Linked DNA regions of Rhinolophus ferrumequinum. The protein of the gene in region 2 purifies or fractionates together with the protein of the main gene of each other region. This does not show direct contact. Links are inferred from orthologs where the notes say so. Each region holds a gene or a part of one and is shown on either strand. Other genes may lie near its edges.

Region 1 (7,749 bases), on a different chromosome or scaffold from region 2:
CTGACTATTGGACATAAAAAAGTCCCTGCCCTTCAATATTACTGGGGGGATCAAATGCAATACGGTGCATGAACACCCCCATCCCAAATACAAGGTATTTTCAGGATTCTAATGATGTGAACGGAAGGTAACATTCCAAATGGAAAAACATAGCAACAACTCACGTGCATTAGTCTGCAAAAGCTGCGGTAACAAAGCACCACAGACTGGGTGGTTTAAACAACGGAAATTTATTTCCTCACGATCCTGGAGGCAGGAAGTTTCTCTCAGGTCTTCTCACCTTGGATTGCAAAGCGCCTTCTCCTTCATGTGTCTTTGTGTGGTCTTCCCTCTGTGCCTGTCTCTGTCCTCGTCTCCTGTTCTTGTAAGGACTCTGGTCACATTGCATCGGGACTCATCCTAACGACCGCATTAACTTATTTACCCAACATGAAAGGCTGTAGCTCCAAATACAGCTGTTTTCTAAGGTCTTGAGGCCTGAGGGAAATCAGATATTGGATTCAAGGAAAACTGGGCAGTAAGTCGCACAAGAACTCTCATAACTTTAATACCCCTTCCTACGACCTTTTTTCTAAAAAGACAATTTTTTAAAGAACAGAGTTTCTGTGCACAGTTTCCTTGTTACACCCCTCATACACCGTTTGCAGTTTAACATCTTTCCTAAGTGTGGCCCAGGTGTCACAATTAATGAATCGATATTGATAAAACCCATAGTTTCCATTAGAGTTCACTCTTTGTGTTGTACAGTGCTACGTGTTTGGACAAATGCAAAACGTCACGTACCCATCACAGGATCATACAGAATATTTCACTGCCCTGAAAAATCCCCTGGGTTCTGCCTATTCATCCTTCCTCTCTCCCGTTCCCAGGACCCTTGGTAACCACTGATCTTTTTAATTTTGCCTTTTCCAGAATGTCATGGAGTGGGACTCTTATGGCACGTACCCTTTTCAGATCACCTTCTTTCACTTAGCAGCATACATTGAAGGTTTGTCTATATCCATTCTTGGTTTGATGGCTGATTTCTTTTTGGTGCTGAATAATATTCCATTGTCTGGATGGACCACAGTGGACATACCCATCACCTACCAAAGGTCATCTGGTTGCTTTCAGTGTCTGCTGATGAGTAAAGCTGTTATCCACATTCCTGTGTAGGTTTTTGTGTGGATGTTTTTCATGTAGATGGATAAATACCTAGGACCATGGTTGCTAGATTGTGTAAGACTGCCTGCTTTGTAAGACAATGCCAAACTGTCTTCCAAAGTGGCCATATCATTTTGCATTCCTACCAGCAAAGAGTGCATGCTGTTACCTTTCGGTGTTGTCATTGAAAACCTTTTCTGGGGCCATTTTAATAGCTGTATGGTGGTGTTTTGTTATCGTGTGCAATACGATAGTGGCATACGATGGTTATCATCTTTCCATATGCTGATTTGCCATCTCTATATCTCTCTTGGGTGTGTTTTGTGTGTTTTTTCCCCAGCTCTTTTGCCTATTTTGATTGGATTATTTTCCTATTGTGGGGTTTTAAGACTTCTTTGTATATTTTGGATATAATCCTTTATTAGATACGAATTTTGCAAATATCATATTCTCACCCAGTCTGTGGCTTATCTTTTCATGCTCTGAAGAGTGTCTTTTGCAGAGCAGATGTTTTTAATTTTAATAAAGTCCAACTTATCAAATTTTTTCCCCATGGGTTATGCTTTGGGTGTTGTATGTTTCCTCCCATGTTATCTTCTAGGAGTTTTATACTTTTGCCTTCTACATTCTGAGTTAATTTTTTTTTTTAAACCAGTGGAAGGTCTGTGGCTAGATTATTATTTTTTTTTTTGCATATGGATGTTCAGTTTTTCTAGCACTCTTTGTTAAAAAGGATATTCTTTTGCCATTGAAATTCCTTTGCTACTTTGCCAGAGATTATTTGAATATATTGGTGTGGGTTCCTCCTGTCTTTCAATTAACATTTTGGCTACTGCTTAAGGGGAATGCTGATAGCATTTGTTGCAAGCAGATTCTTATACTCCGGCTCCCTCCCGTCAGCAAGGAAAAGTAATTGTTTAATACGCAGATATTGTGCTGTGTCTACCTGTAGAAATCACTGCTGTTCACGACCTCATATTTACTTTTATCAGAAAGCACTAGTCCCTTTCCTGCTCTAATTTATTTCCCTCTTTCCTTGTTTTCTCCCATCTTACAGGACTGCACCCTTGCAAAATTTGCAAAACAGAGTAAAACAAAGTAGTCTAATTTACCACCTACCTACCACCATCTAGCATTTCAGAAAGAGGAATTTCGGTGATATTACGATAAACATAAGTCTGTCTCTTCCTGTCTGAGGTCTTACAAAGTCCCATGGGGGTGAGAGGGTGGGGTTCCTTTGAGTCTACGATTAAAGCACTAAGCTGCTGACTTGCAAGAAGACCGTTGGGATTATTGGGACATTATCAAACAGGCGAGGCAGATTCTGAGCTCACCTGCATTGCTAGTTACCCAAGAACAGCTGTAAAAACTGGTCACACTGGGTCATAGTTTGGAGCGAGGATTTCCATCCCTTTCCCACACTTTAAACGATTGGCATCTGCCAAGTAATCAAAACATACCAAGAGGCCTTTCACCAAGCTCAGTTTGGAATTTCCAAGCGGCTAAAGACAGGCAGAGCCGGTAAGCCAGACAGGGCCAGTTTGGCTGCGCGGTTACTCGAGAGACTGCGGTAGCCGAGGGCCGCGTCCGGGTAAAGCCGAAAGCTGTAATGATGTCAACTTGTTATTTACTTTCCAAATCTGAATGACTGAGCCAGGCGAAAGGAGAATCAATCAACCACAATGTGACCCTACAGGCGGAAAAAACGCCGCGCTACCCTCAGCAGGCGGTGGGGGAGGGGAAGCACGTGTAACCGGGGCAGGGTTGCATCATGAGCTCGCTCGGGTTTTCTATTGCACCCTCGGTTTTTCGATTGCATGTAATACCTCTCAGCATCAGCCCGCACAAGCCCAGGGAGTCCGGGAGCAACGAAGGGCAGGCTCGAGGGAAGGCCCCACCACGTCCTTTTGGGGGTGGTCTTGAATGGCAACTGATACGTAATAAGACACAATCTATTCTGCTGATTCACAATTATGGAGACTGTGTAAGTGTGGATTTTTTATTGACGTGCTCTATAATAATGGTGTAGCAACAGTCGTTTTACATCATTGACCTTTTACAGCAATATATGGCAGGGTAAATCTTAGGTCCGCCTTTCTGATGGAGGACCAGCCCCTTAAAAGCTCACCTCCGGCCCCCTTCCCTCGGCCACCAGAACAACAAATGGTCCAGTGTCCCAGAAAAGAGCAAGTGAGGTTACACTTTAAAATGCTGAGTGTACTGGGCTCTTAGCGGGAAGCTCAGTGTACACCAAAGGGAGGGGCACACTTATTTTAAAATATTCAACAAAGCAGACACTGAAGGTGCTTGGGGTGGGCGCGGGTATCTATTTCATTGAATTAAGGCCGCGTGGGGTGGGTAGTGGTCACCGAAGTGGAGGGGAGGAAGGGACGCTGGGGATTGGGGGGCACCAGGGCTGGGCCAAGCAAGCCATTGCAACATAAAACACTTTGGAAATGCCCGAGGGAGGTCTGAAGCCTGCTTGTGGGGGTGGGGATAAGGATGGGAGGAGGTTCCCCCCAACTCCCGGAACCCCCACACCCCAGCTCCTGGCCTCCACCTCCGTGTGTCTGAGTTTCTTTCTCCCCACGCGTTTCTGGCCCTTCCCTGTAGCTGTTTTTGCAAAGGTTGAGGGCTCCACCTGAGCCCCCACCTTTTGGGGAGGGGGAGAGAACACTGGGGTGTCCTCTAAGCCGCGGATTTTGAGGGACATGCCCCCTGGGGCAGGTTACAAGGGTTCTGTTAGGGCAACTGGGCGGTTTCTTTTTTGCGGTGGGGGAGGGTAACACTCTAGCACCGGCCCGGGTTCCTTTCCCCTATGGAGAAACCTCGGGGGTGGTGGCCCCGGTTACGGTCCCCGCCACCCCGACAGTGGGGTAAAGACTGAGGTTTGGGACTGGGTGGGGGTAGACCGCGTTCCCTTCCTCCCTATGGAGGCCACGGGGAAAGGACTGGGTTCAGAGCTTGTAGGGAAAGGCCCGGTTTCCCCTCACCCACCCTAGGCGTGGGGGCAGGGGAAGCTTGGGGTGAGGGACGTTGCAGGGTCGCAGGTTCCCCCACCGTGGAGGAGGGGCTGGATTGGGACGCGGGTCCTCCCTAGAGGCCGCGGGGGAGGGGCAGTTCTGGGGCGCGGACTCTCACCCTCGCCGCCGTGGGGGAGGGGCTGGCCCGGCGTCCCTACCCCCAGTGGGGGAGGGTCTGGTTTGGGACGCGGTCCCCCAGGGCGCAGGGGAGGGGCCGGAGGGGACGCGGGTGCCCCTCCCCCGGTGTGGGGGGCTGGGGGAGGGGCGGGCCGGGGCGGCGGAGGCGGCCCCCCTGGCAGTCCTCCCGGCCGGGGTCGGCGCTCTGGCGGCGGCCGCTCCCCCCTGAGGTCACTGCCCGTGCCGGTCCCTCCCGCCGTCCCGCCCTCTGCCGCCGCCGCCGCTCCCGCCTCGGCCCCCCCACTCTCCGCGCTCGGGAGCCGAGAGCCGCCAGCGCCCCCGCCCCGCCCCGCCGCCGCAGCGCCCTCGGCCGCCATTCGGCACCGAAACTTTCCAGCGCCCGCGCCTCACGGGACTCGGCGGGGCGGGGGCGGCCCGGGGGCGGCGCGAGGCTGCTCCGGGGCGCCGGGCCCTCCTCGGCCGCGGCTCGGCCCGGCTCGGCGACGGCCGGCCGGAGGGAGGCTCGGCGCGGCGGCGCCCCACAAGTTGCCCTGCCCGCGGCGAGGTGAGTGCGCGGGGCCCGGCCGGCGGGCGCGGGGCGGGGGGGCGCAAACTTCTCCGGCGGGGGTGGGCCTGGCCGGCGGCTCGGGGCGCCCGCACGCTCCGCCCGCAGCCGGAGCTCTGGAGGGGCAGGTCCCCAACTGTCCCCGGGGCTCGGGTTGGGGTGCGGCGCGCTCCCTGCAGGCTGAACAATACCCCGAGGGGGCCGCTCCCCAAAGTGCCGGCGCGTGGGGGGGCTTCTTTGTTTTGGGGAGTGGGAGGCGGCCGGTAAGTTTGGGGAGGCGCTCCATTTGCCCCCGGGTCCCCTTTGTCTGCCGCCCCTGGGGCTGGTGGGCGAAGCTGCGGCGCCGCGGGCTCCCCCGTGGGGGAGGGGAGCCCCATTCATCCCGGGCTCCGGCCGGCCCGCCCCGGACCGGGTGGCCGCGCGGCGGCGCGCCGTGGAGTGAGTGCCGGGCGAGGCCCCGCGGCTGCTCTGTTTCCGAGGCGCAGAAACTGTCAAGGAAGTCAGAACCCCCCCACCCCCCGGCCCGAGCGAGAGGACCTGGCTGGGGGCGACTTCGGTGTGTGGGGGTCGCCCCTGGTGTGGCGGGGTCTGCAAAGCGCGGCCTGGGGAGGGTGCAGACCTGTTGCTCCCGGGCTAGGGGGAGGGGTGACCCCAGATTCGCGTCCCGGGCCCTGCTCCCGGAGGGACTTTCCCCACTGGGGACCCGTCCTCGGAACCGGGTGGGGGTGCGTCTTCGGGTGTCGGTGGCTGCCGGGCATGTGACAATTGGGGGTCACTAGAAGCCAGCCCGCGATGGGTTGGGGCCTGGACTTCGCGTGCGTCGCCCGTGCGCGGTCAGGCCCGGGCCGGGGCTCGCTCCTCGCTTGGCCTGGGGTTTTCCCGCACAACTGCATGGCAAATTCCAGAAAGTTAGAGTCGGAGGTCATGTTGTGGATCATACCCCCCAAAAAACAACAACAACAACAACAACAAAACCCCCACCCACCCAGCCCCTATCGCATCTGCAGCTGTCTCTGCTTTGCATTGTCACATGTGGCTTGACCTGACTTCTGGATGTTTTTCTCTCCTGACGCGCCGCCCAAGTCCCTGGTTTAACCTGGAAGCGCAGGGGCGGGACTCCAAACCTGGAGGGAGGGGGACGCCCTGCTGAGGTCCCCAGCGGTGGCTTGGGGTACAAATGGCTCTGGACGATTTTAGGAAAAGTTTAGAATTAGTCATTCCTAGAAAAGATGCTTTTAGGGGGAAAAAAAATGTTGGAGTATGGAACAATTACGACGTTAAGATGACGCTTTTATTTTAAAGGACGCTATGTGTCAAATGTGCTGCAGATTTTGATGGAAAACCACCCAGCTGGGTAAATAATCCAGGGATAAAAGTTGAAGTTCGTCACTTGAGCCACTTATTAAAATAGCCCCTCAAGGGGATTCCAGCTCTTCCGTGTACACACACCTGTGGGACAGAAATGGGGATTTTTGGTGGTTTATTTGGTGGTGTACATTTGCCCCTTCAGTGGGCTAGTGATGTTTTCCTCTGCCAGTAGTTTTAAAGAAGAAACTGTTTGCAAAATAACAACAATAATAATGATCACCGTATTATTGAAGATGCCCAAAAGTGAATGTTTCAAAATCTGGGGTGCTTTCACCAGTTGTATCCGTAGCATGATTTTGTACAACAGTATCTTAGTAAGGAGGTACCTCCCCTTTTTTAGTGATGGATAAACATTTATTCAAAAATGTACCCAGATAAGATACTCTGCTAGGCCCAGAGGGACACCAGGAGCAAGGTGGGCCCCCTTAGGGGACAGTGGGACGTGGGAAGGGGCCACTCGCCAAGAGCAGCGCACGTGTCTGCGAATCCTCTAGGATTGACTCTTGTGCTTTTATCCAGGGCTCGGTCAGTCCAGGAACTATCAACACCCCCATTTAAATGTCACACGTGGATCCCTAAATCTGCCAAACCCCACCCTTCCTGAAAGGTTGGGCGTCTTGGGTAAGGAGAATGTTTGGTGTCTTTCTGGGCCTGGACCCCCATCTGTATCTCTGGGAGCTTCAGCGTTCCGTTTGTGTGATGACATCATGAGTCTGCCTCCTGTTAGGAGACTTTCAATGGGCTTTGTGGCCCCCACAGTGGTGAATAGGGTCCTGGAGTCCAACTGCATCATGACCAGTGACATTTGGCTATCCCTGTGTGATTTGAACGAGTCCACCCTGTTCCTGCTCCACCGTGGCTCTGGAAGTCCTGCACCTTGCTGAGCGTTACTTTTCTGTGTGTAAAAATACAAAGGAGAACTGAAATCGCTGTACTCACTAGGCAGTGTGAGGACGGGAAGAGAATGTATGTGAACTGGAATGGAAAGCGGCCTGTAAATGTTAGCTGTTGGTCTTGGTGCAAAGAGAACAGTTGTCTTTATGCGACTTGAATGCCATGCCCCAAGGAATTCCCGGGCCTAACTCTATACTAGCAAGTTCCATGCCACAGCATAGGACGCTGAAAGATGTTAAGTAACTTGGCAATACATAGTCGTGGAGGGAGGGTTGTCTGATTCCCAAAGCCCAGCTCGTAAGCTTGGCCTTTTTTTGTTTTGCCTTCCTGACTACCTAGGGTGAATTTTCCCATTTGGAGAAAAAAGCTGTTTAAATTACGAGTCTACACACACACACACACACACACTCACAAACGAGAATCTACATTGAAATCTGTGTATACGTATAAACATCTCTCAATAGAATCAGGAACCGTCTGTTTTCCTCTCTAGCTGTGTTGTCCAATGTGGCGGCCACCAGTCACGTGTGCATAATGAGGGTCGATTAGAATTCAATGAAAGGAACGGCTCTGTCCCTTTTGGTCATTCTAGCCTCAATTCATGTACTCAGTGGATGCCTGTGGCTAGTGGCCACCATA
Region 2 (6,835 bases):
CCAGGCCCACGGAAGGGAGGCAGGAAATCCCCCAGCTCTGCGTCCTGGGGAATCCCACACCAGAGTCCAAGCTCCCGGGCTCCCCAAGCCAGGACCAGGCCTGGATGAGGGAGTCCCCACTGTGTGCTGGGCCGTTGTGGGGGAGCCATCAAGGAAGACCTAGGATGGCCCTAGTGGAAGCTGTGATCTGTCCCCTGCCTCAAGCAGGAACAGCAGAGGGACCCGCAACCCTCATGCGCTCCGTCTGCCAAGGCTCTGGCTTACTGCTGGGGCACCTCACCATATGTATTCACCCAGAACAGAGCCCAGGCATCCTGCCGTCAGCCCTGGATGCCAGCCCCTCTAGCATGGCTCACTCACCCATGTGCCAGGCACTGTGCTAATGCTGCGGAATGGCCATGAACAACTTAGCCCAGAGAGCAAAGGACACCTCGAAAACAGGGTTCCAAACCGTTGCTGCTGGACGGAGTAGACAGTCAGTCCATCCTGGAAAGCCCCTGTTCCCTAAGCACTCACACGCAGAGCCTGGTGGCACATACCACTCAAGAAGCGTCCCTGGACACCTGTTTTTATAGCCACAGGCTTTAGCATCCTGTCTGGAGACTGATCAAGAGATGGTGGGGGGTGGGGAAAACCAGGCTGCCTGGGCCCTCATGGCCGTGTTTATCCAGGGTAGATTTTTTTTTAACCCAAAGGTTAAAGTGTTTCTATTTGAAACATCTATTTACATTCCAGAGTCCAAAAAAAAAAAACAAGGCAGCCAAGCTCAGGCCTATATCTGTCCCCAGCCACGTCACAGACACAGCATCAGAGTTGCGCAGGGGGGAACATTCTTAGCCCTCTCCCCGAGCCGCTGAGGTGACTCACGCCTCCCTCCTGCCAGCATGGACCACGCTACCACTCAGAAAGCTAGGCAGTGTGTGTGTGTTGGGGGGGGGAAGGGACAGGGACCAGGCAGCCTTAGGGAAGGGATGGGGGTAGCAGGGTTCCATCCTGCAAGAATCCTGGAGCCTAGCTTGAAAGAAGATGAGAAAACATGCTGAGGAAGAAACTTCAGGCCAACTGCCAGGGGTTGCTGGGAGGCAAGGGACAGCGGGAACAAGGCAGGGTGGGTGGGCTGATAGGGCATCTGCCAAATGGGGCAGAGCTGCCCCCAAGCAGATGCTCTGCACAGTCAGTCCTTTGCTTTCCAAGAGACGACCTTGACTCCTAGAGGCTTTGGAGCAGGGACCAGCAGGCAGGGTCTTTAGCTAGAGCTGCAGACTCCACTAGATGAGGGCTAGACCAGCTCCAGATGTTTACATCCCTTCCCAGGGGACTGGGTGGGGATTCTGTAGGGCCGGTCCCCAGGGTTATGCCCCTACCCTAGGAGACTACATGGGCATCCTTGCCCAGGCAAATGACAGGCCTTGTTCCAAAGGTTTTCCAAATCTTCCGAAAACATTCATCCTGACACATCCCAGTCTGGCTGCAACCTTATCCCTGGATGGTTTAAAGCCAAATCACAGCTCCCACCTTCCAGTTCAAAGCCTGGGACCCACACCCACGTATCCAGAAGCAAAGACTTCCCATACACATACACATACAGACATCCACACCCAAGTGCCAAGCCACTGCCAGGAGGGGCCAAGTGGGCATGAATCCAATAGGCCCCTCCCTCGAGGAAGCATCTTGTGGTGCCGGCCTGGTGGGGAGGCTGTGCCAGAAAGGCCTGATGCTGCCAACAGGTTCCTGGGAGGGAAGGAGGGAGGGAGTGGCCCAGCTCTGGGGGACCCCACCCCCAGCCAAGAGCCAAAAAAGTCCCTGCTGAGAAGGTGGCAGGGCTAAGAGGGTCCACATGCCCATATGAAGACACCTCTTTGCCCTCATGACATGGGAATAAACCAAGGCCTGGGGGAAAGAGACATATGGGGGAGCTAAGAGCTAAGGCAGCAAAGGTCCCTGACAGCTCAGCTGCTAGCCTCTGCCTAACTCCACCACAACTGCACAAGCCTCCTTGCCAGATATCTGACTCCCAGGGGACTCTAGACTGGGGACTTGCAGAAATCACTGCACGGGACGCTCTGCCCCTCAGAACCCAGCCAGAGGAGGTGGGGTAGTCTTTACTCTTGTGGACACTCAGCTCTGGCTTTTTCCCTTGCCCAGACGTGGGGGGCAGGCAGCCTGGAGACAGGTCACTGACCCACTTCCTCCCCTCTGACCACAGTGCCAACTACGCCAGCATTCTCTAGCCATCCACAGCCCCCAGCAGCTGATGCGGATCCTGCTGGGGGCCAAAAAGACTTGAAGGGATGTAGCCGAGTGCTGCTGGAGGAAAGGCAGGAAAACCCACCTCAGAGAGCGCGGCTCCACTGACTGCCATATTCTCAACACAAAGCCCCCCAGAGATATCTAAGCAGGACCCCATCTGGGCAAGGCTCAGAGCCAAATGCTCAAGCCCTGGGTGCCCAATGGCAGAGGGCAGGCAGGGACATTGAGGTACTTACCTGCCACAGGGATGCCGTGTAGAGGGGTCCGAGGAAGGATTTCCAAGGATGGTTCCCGGGCTGACATCCCATCTGCTGAGAAACAGGATTCTGTCTCATAGATGGTCTGCAGCATCTCCACGAGCCCCTGAGCCTTGGGCACCAGCAGCATGCCAGGGAAGGGGCCGCCAGAGGCGGGAGTCGGCCAAAGGGAAAGTGGTGGGGCGGGCGGGGCCCTCACTGCTCAGGGGCTCCCTCAGGCCCCTGCTGCTGGGACCCGTGCTGTGGGGAGGTGCCTCATCCGGCCCGGGCACTCCTGGCAGCAGGAGGAGCCAGAAGGCCCACGAGCTACAGCCCCCCTTTCTCCTAGAAGGGCATCCCACCGCCAGCCTGTCCCCAGCTCCCAGGAGCTGCGGTATGGCTGAGCACTTGGGGGACAGGAAGGGGAGCTCAGCAGGCAGGCGGGCTCTGTGTTCCCTCCCTCCCAGCGCTGGGTGACAGCTCTGGGCCTGGCTCCCTGCTCCTCCTTCCCGAATGAGCCTCCGGCAGCTGGCAGGAGACTGAAATAGCAGTTGGGGGAGGGCCCTGTCTATAAATAGGTGGAGCGGGCTGCCAGGAGCCCAGGCCTGGCGGAGGCCCCATGGGGGGAGGCGAGCTCCACCCCAGGAGGAAGCGCCAGGCAGGGGGATGGGAACAGAGGAGGGCCTGCACTCAGGGCCAAGGCCACAGAGCCCGTGGCCAGCGGCTGGGATGTGGAAGGGCACAGCCAGAGTCCCCATGCATCTGGGAGCAGCACCAGAGCTGGAGAGGGGCTGGAAACCAAACAACCAGATTCCATCCTCTATCTTCTCTCTCGCCATCCAGGGCAGGTAAAGGAATCCGAAGGGTCTGCGAGAGAGTGGCAGACAGGGCCACCTGGCCCTAACCTTGTGTTTTCCTTGGAGTCCTTCTAGCAGCCAAAATGGGTTTATTTAACTTCTGCCCTCCCTGAGCTGGGAGGTGCCTCCCCACCCCCTCAACCAGCAGGGAGACCCCCGAGCAGCAGCTAAATGACAGTCACCTCCAGCGGCTGCTCCGCTTCCCTCCAGGGGCCAGGAGACTCTTCCTGGACGGGCTTCAGCCCGGAAGGCAACCAGGGAGCACCTGCCCAGTCTCAGAGCACAGGGAGCTCTTCCCTGGCAGTGTGCCAGTTGCAATGCTAACAGTAGCACATACATTTAGTCTGCATGATGAGCTCGAGAGACAGGTGCAGACAAGGAAACTGAGGCATAGAGAGATGAAGTCACTCACCCTAGATCACACAGCTACTTAAATGGTAGGACTGGGATGTCTGAGCTCTATCACCACAGCCCACTGCCTCCTGCACGTGGGAGTACATGAAACTGCCCCAACATTTCCGTTAACAGGTACAGTGACCCCCAGTACCCAGGGAGGAACAGACTTGAGGTTGGAACCCCTCTAAGAACAGTCAAGAGGCTGACAACATCCAGCTCTTCCCCACCAGCCGCAGGCCTGGCAGAGGAACCCCTGCTCCTGGGGCACTGCTAGCACCTCGGGCCGGTGCCCCATGAGGACTGGTGATACCCACCTACCCGGCCCACTGCTGACCCGTCCCTTCTCCTCAGGCTGTGCCTCCCACTGGCACAGAGGTCCCACTTGGCCCCCTGACCTCACTGGAGCCTTTTAATAGCCTGGTTATTCCTGGGTCTGTGTCCCCCTCCCCCTTCCTGATGTCACAGTTGCTATTTTGGAGCCCCCTCCTGGCCCCTTCTTGCCCCCAACTGCAGGCATGGAGCCAGGGACACCTGTCCTCTCCCTGGACTGGATGACCTCACCCTCTTGTCAGGAGCCCGGGAGGAGCTGGCCAACCAAGGACACAGTGGCGGTGGCTCCTGAAGCCCATCTTCCCAGCCGACTTCTGCTAGCCAGGGATGACAAAGGTGCCTCCTGCCCTCAGGTGGGAGACCTTATGGATGGGGGAGGTGGCAGAGGTGGGCTTTCCCAGGCTGTAGACTGGCTGGCAAGATGTATATTTGGGGATGGGGTGTGGGGGAACAGGACCTAAATAAAGATCTGCAGCCTCACCTTTGGAGCCAGGGCAAACTCTAGAAAAATGGTGATGAAGCAGGGCGCTCACAGGGGTCTGGAGTGGGTGGACACTTCAGGATACGTCTGGGGCCCTCGTTCACCATTCCCAGCCCCAACCTCCTGGCCAACCAGGCTCTCTGAAGGGGAGGGGAAGGGAAGGCCAAGGTCCCTTCAGTGGGGTGCTAGGCAGCAGATTCAAGGGAGCCCAGAAAGCTGGGGCCAGCAGCCTCTCCCAGCTCAGTACTCCACCCACACAAGCTAGGAGCAACCGGAAGGGCTGGCTAGCCCTGTCCTGGCGCTCTCTGTCTGCCCCAGGCACAAGCCAGTAAGGTAGGGGAGCCCTGTTCTGGAGGAGAGGAAGTCACCTGTTACAATGACTCGAAGCAGAACCTGGAGTGTCCAGAAACCTAAAGAAAGAGAACTCTCTGCTTAGGGAAGATGGGAGCACCCAGGAGACTGACAGCCAGTCGTGGCCAAAGCCAGGGGCTTGGGGCAGTAACCAGCACTGTTACAATTTCCAGTAACAGCATGATGTGGGAAGCAAAGTATCAGACAGCCAGACAATCCTCAGTGCAGTTCCCCGAATCCTCCAGGGGAACAAGAGAGGACGCCTGACGTAGAGACAAGTGTCTTTCTTTACTTCTGAGATTCAGCTGATGCAACGAGATCTCCTAATGTCTAATCTCAATCCTTCCTGCTTTCTAGCCCCTCTCTCCTCGTAGTTCACGTCTCTTCTCCATCCTCAGCCATCCAACACCCCCACGTGTCATCCCACAAACCTTACAGAGCACCCACCACACGAGCCTCATTCGCAGCCGGCACCATCCCTTCCGACCCACAGTGACCTTGCTCCTTCCGGCGGAGGCTGGGCTCAGGTCTCCCAACCCCCTATACCTGGAAGAGGGGAACCCCATGCTGGCTCCTGGGGGCTCCTCCAGGCTCTCATTTCCTGGGCCCAAAAGGCTGGGATGAGGCCTGACCAAAAGGAAGAAAGCAATGTCTGCCTTGCGCACAGTTTGAATGCCAAGGGCTGGCCCAGGAGCATCCCAGATGGAGTGTGGGGTGCCAGCTTCTCTGGGGCCCCGGAGACATCGGCCTGCCTGCCCTTCAGTTCTCTCCTGCGCTTTAAGCCCAGTCATGCTGGAGCCCGTCGGCATCGCCTGGGAGCTGCCATGTGCCAGGTCCCATGCTAGGTGCTGGCTGAACCCTCTCATTTGAAACCAAGTCCAGGAAAAACGTAAACACCTACTTTGGCATCTTCCACATTCTCTCAGGGTTGACCCTGCCTCCTCCCACCGTCCCATTCTAAGCCTTCAATCCCTTTGGAATGATGGAGCAGGGAAGAGGAGGTGGAGCAGAACCCAAGCTGGAGTGAGCACAGAAATGCACCAAGTGGCACTTAAGTGGAGAAGGGACACCAGCAGTCCACTTCCCGGACCCCCAGCCCACGCTGGCACTGACCCACTTTCTCCTCCTCAGGGCTGGCTGCCCGCCTTCCCCAGGGGCTCAGAGGCAGAGCCTGAGCCCAAGGCTGGGAGGCAGGACGCCGAGGTTCCTGGCTCCACCCCATGCCCATGCCCCAGTTTCTCTGGTCACCCAGAAAGGAGGGGGCAGCTGCCCTCCCTCCCTCCCTCCTGGGAAAGGGAAGGAGAGAAAGTGTGGAGTGTGCTGGGAGGTGCTGGGCAGGCGGGTGTTGTCATGAAGCTTGTCTCCCTCCCACGCTGGGGACGAGGAACGTGGCCGCCTCCTCCTGGAGCCCTGTCGCCATCCAGACTGGCCTCACTCGTGCCCTCTCTTCTGGGCAGTGGCATAGAGGACAGAGCCGTGGCCAGAGCAGGCCTAGGTCACAGGTCCCAGGGCAGCTCCTCCAACCGGGTCGGGCCAAAGCCAGGCAGCAGACATACTCCGCCAGTCCTTCAATCCCACTGAGGGGAGCAGAGGTGATCAGCTCCAGAAAAATAAAGAAAGCCTAACTGCTTAATCCCCCTTTTGCCAGACACCCGCGAGCGGCGTGGCGTCCTCAGGGAAGCAGGCACTCCCATCAATGGCCCCTGCCTGTACCCAGGACTGCAAAAGAGGCGAATCAGGTCAAATGCTGGCGTTTGGCCCAGCCCAGAGGTAAGTCGATCAGCTCCCACTCCCTGGGAAGGAGGGGTAAGCCCCAGAAGTAAATTGCTCCGCGTCTCCACCTGCTGCCCCTCACCCAACACACCCTCTCTTACTAACCTGTTTGCTTATGAGGGCAAGGATGGACCACCTTCTAGTTTCCTTCCGTTTCCCCA

Evidence for each region.
Region 1: the proteins of HDAC5 (region 2) and TBL1X purify together in Homo sapiens (affinity purification with mass spectrometry; 3 studies listed by BioGRID and IntAct, with this or other methods). This does not show direct contact. The link is inferred for Rhinolophus ferrumequinum from reciprocal best matches to the Homo sapiens genes HDAC5 and TBL1X.

What each region holds. Positions count from the first base shown.
Region 1 is NC_046284.1:119,930,548-119,938,296, reverse strand, and holds the start of TBL1X (F-box-like/WD repeat-containing protein TBL1X), read left to right. Parts: upstream 1-4,735; 5' UTR 4,736-4,848; intron 4,849-7,749. UniProt on the Homo sapiens protein: F-box-like protein involved in the recruitment of the ubiquitin/19S proteasome complex to nuclear receptor-regulated transcription units. Plays an essential role in transcription activation mediated by nuclear receptors.
Region 2 is NC_046304.1:39,223,844-39,230,678, forward strand, and holds the start of HDAC5 (histone deacetylase 5), read right to left. Parts: upstream 3,003-6,835; 5' UTR 2,638-3,002; coding exon 2,487-2,637; intron 1-2,486. UniProt on the Homo sapiens protein: Responsible for the deacetylation of lysine residues on the N-terminal part of the core histones (H2A, H2B, H3 and H4).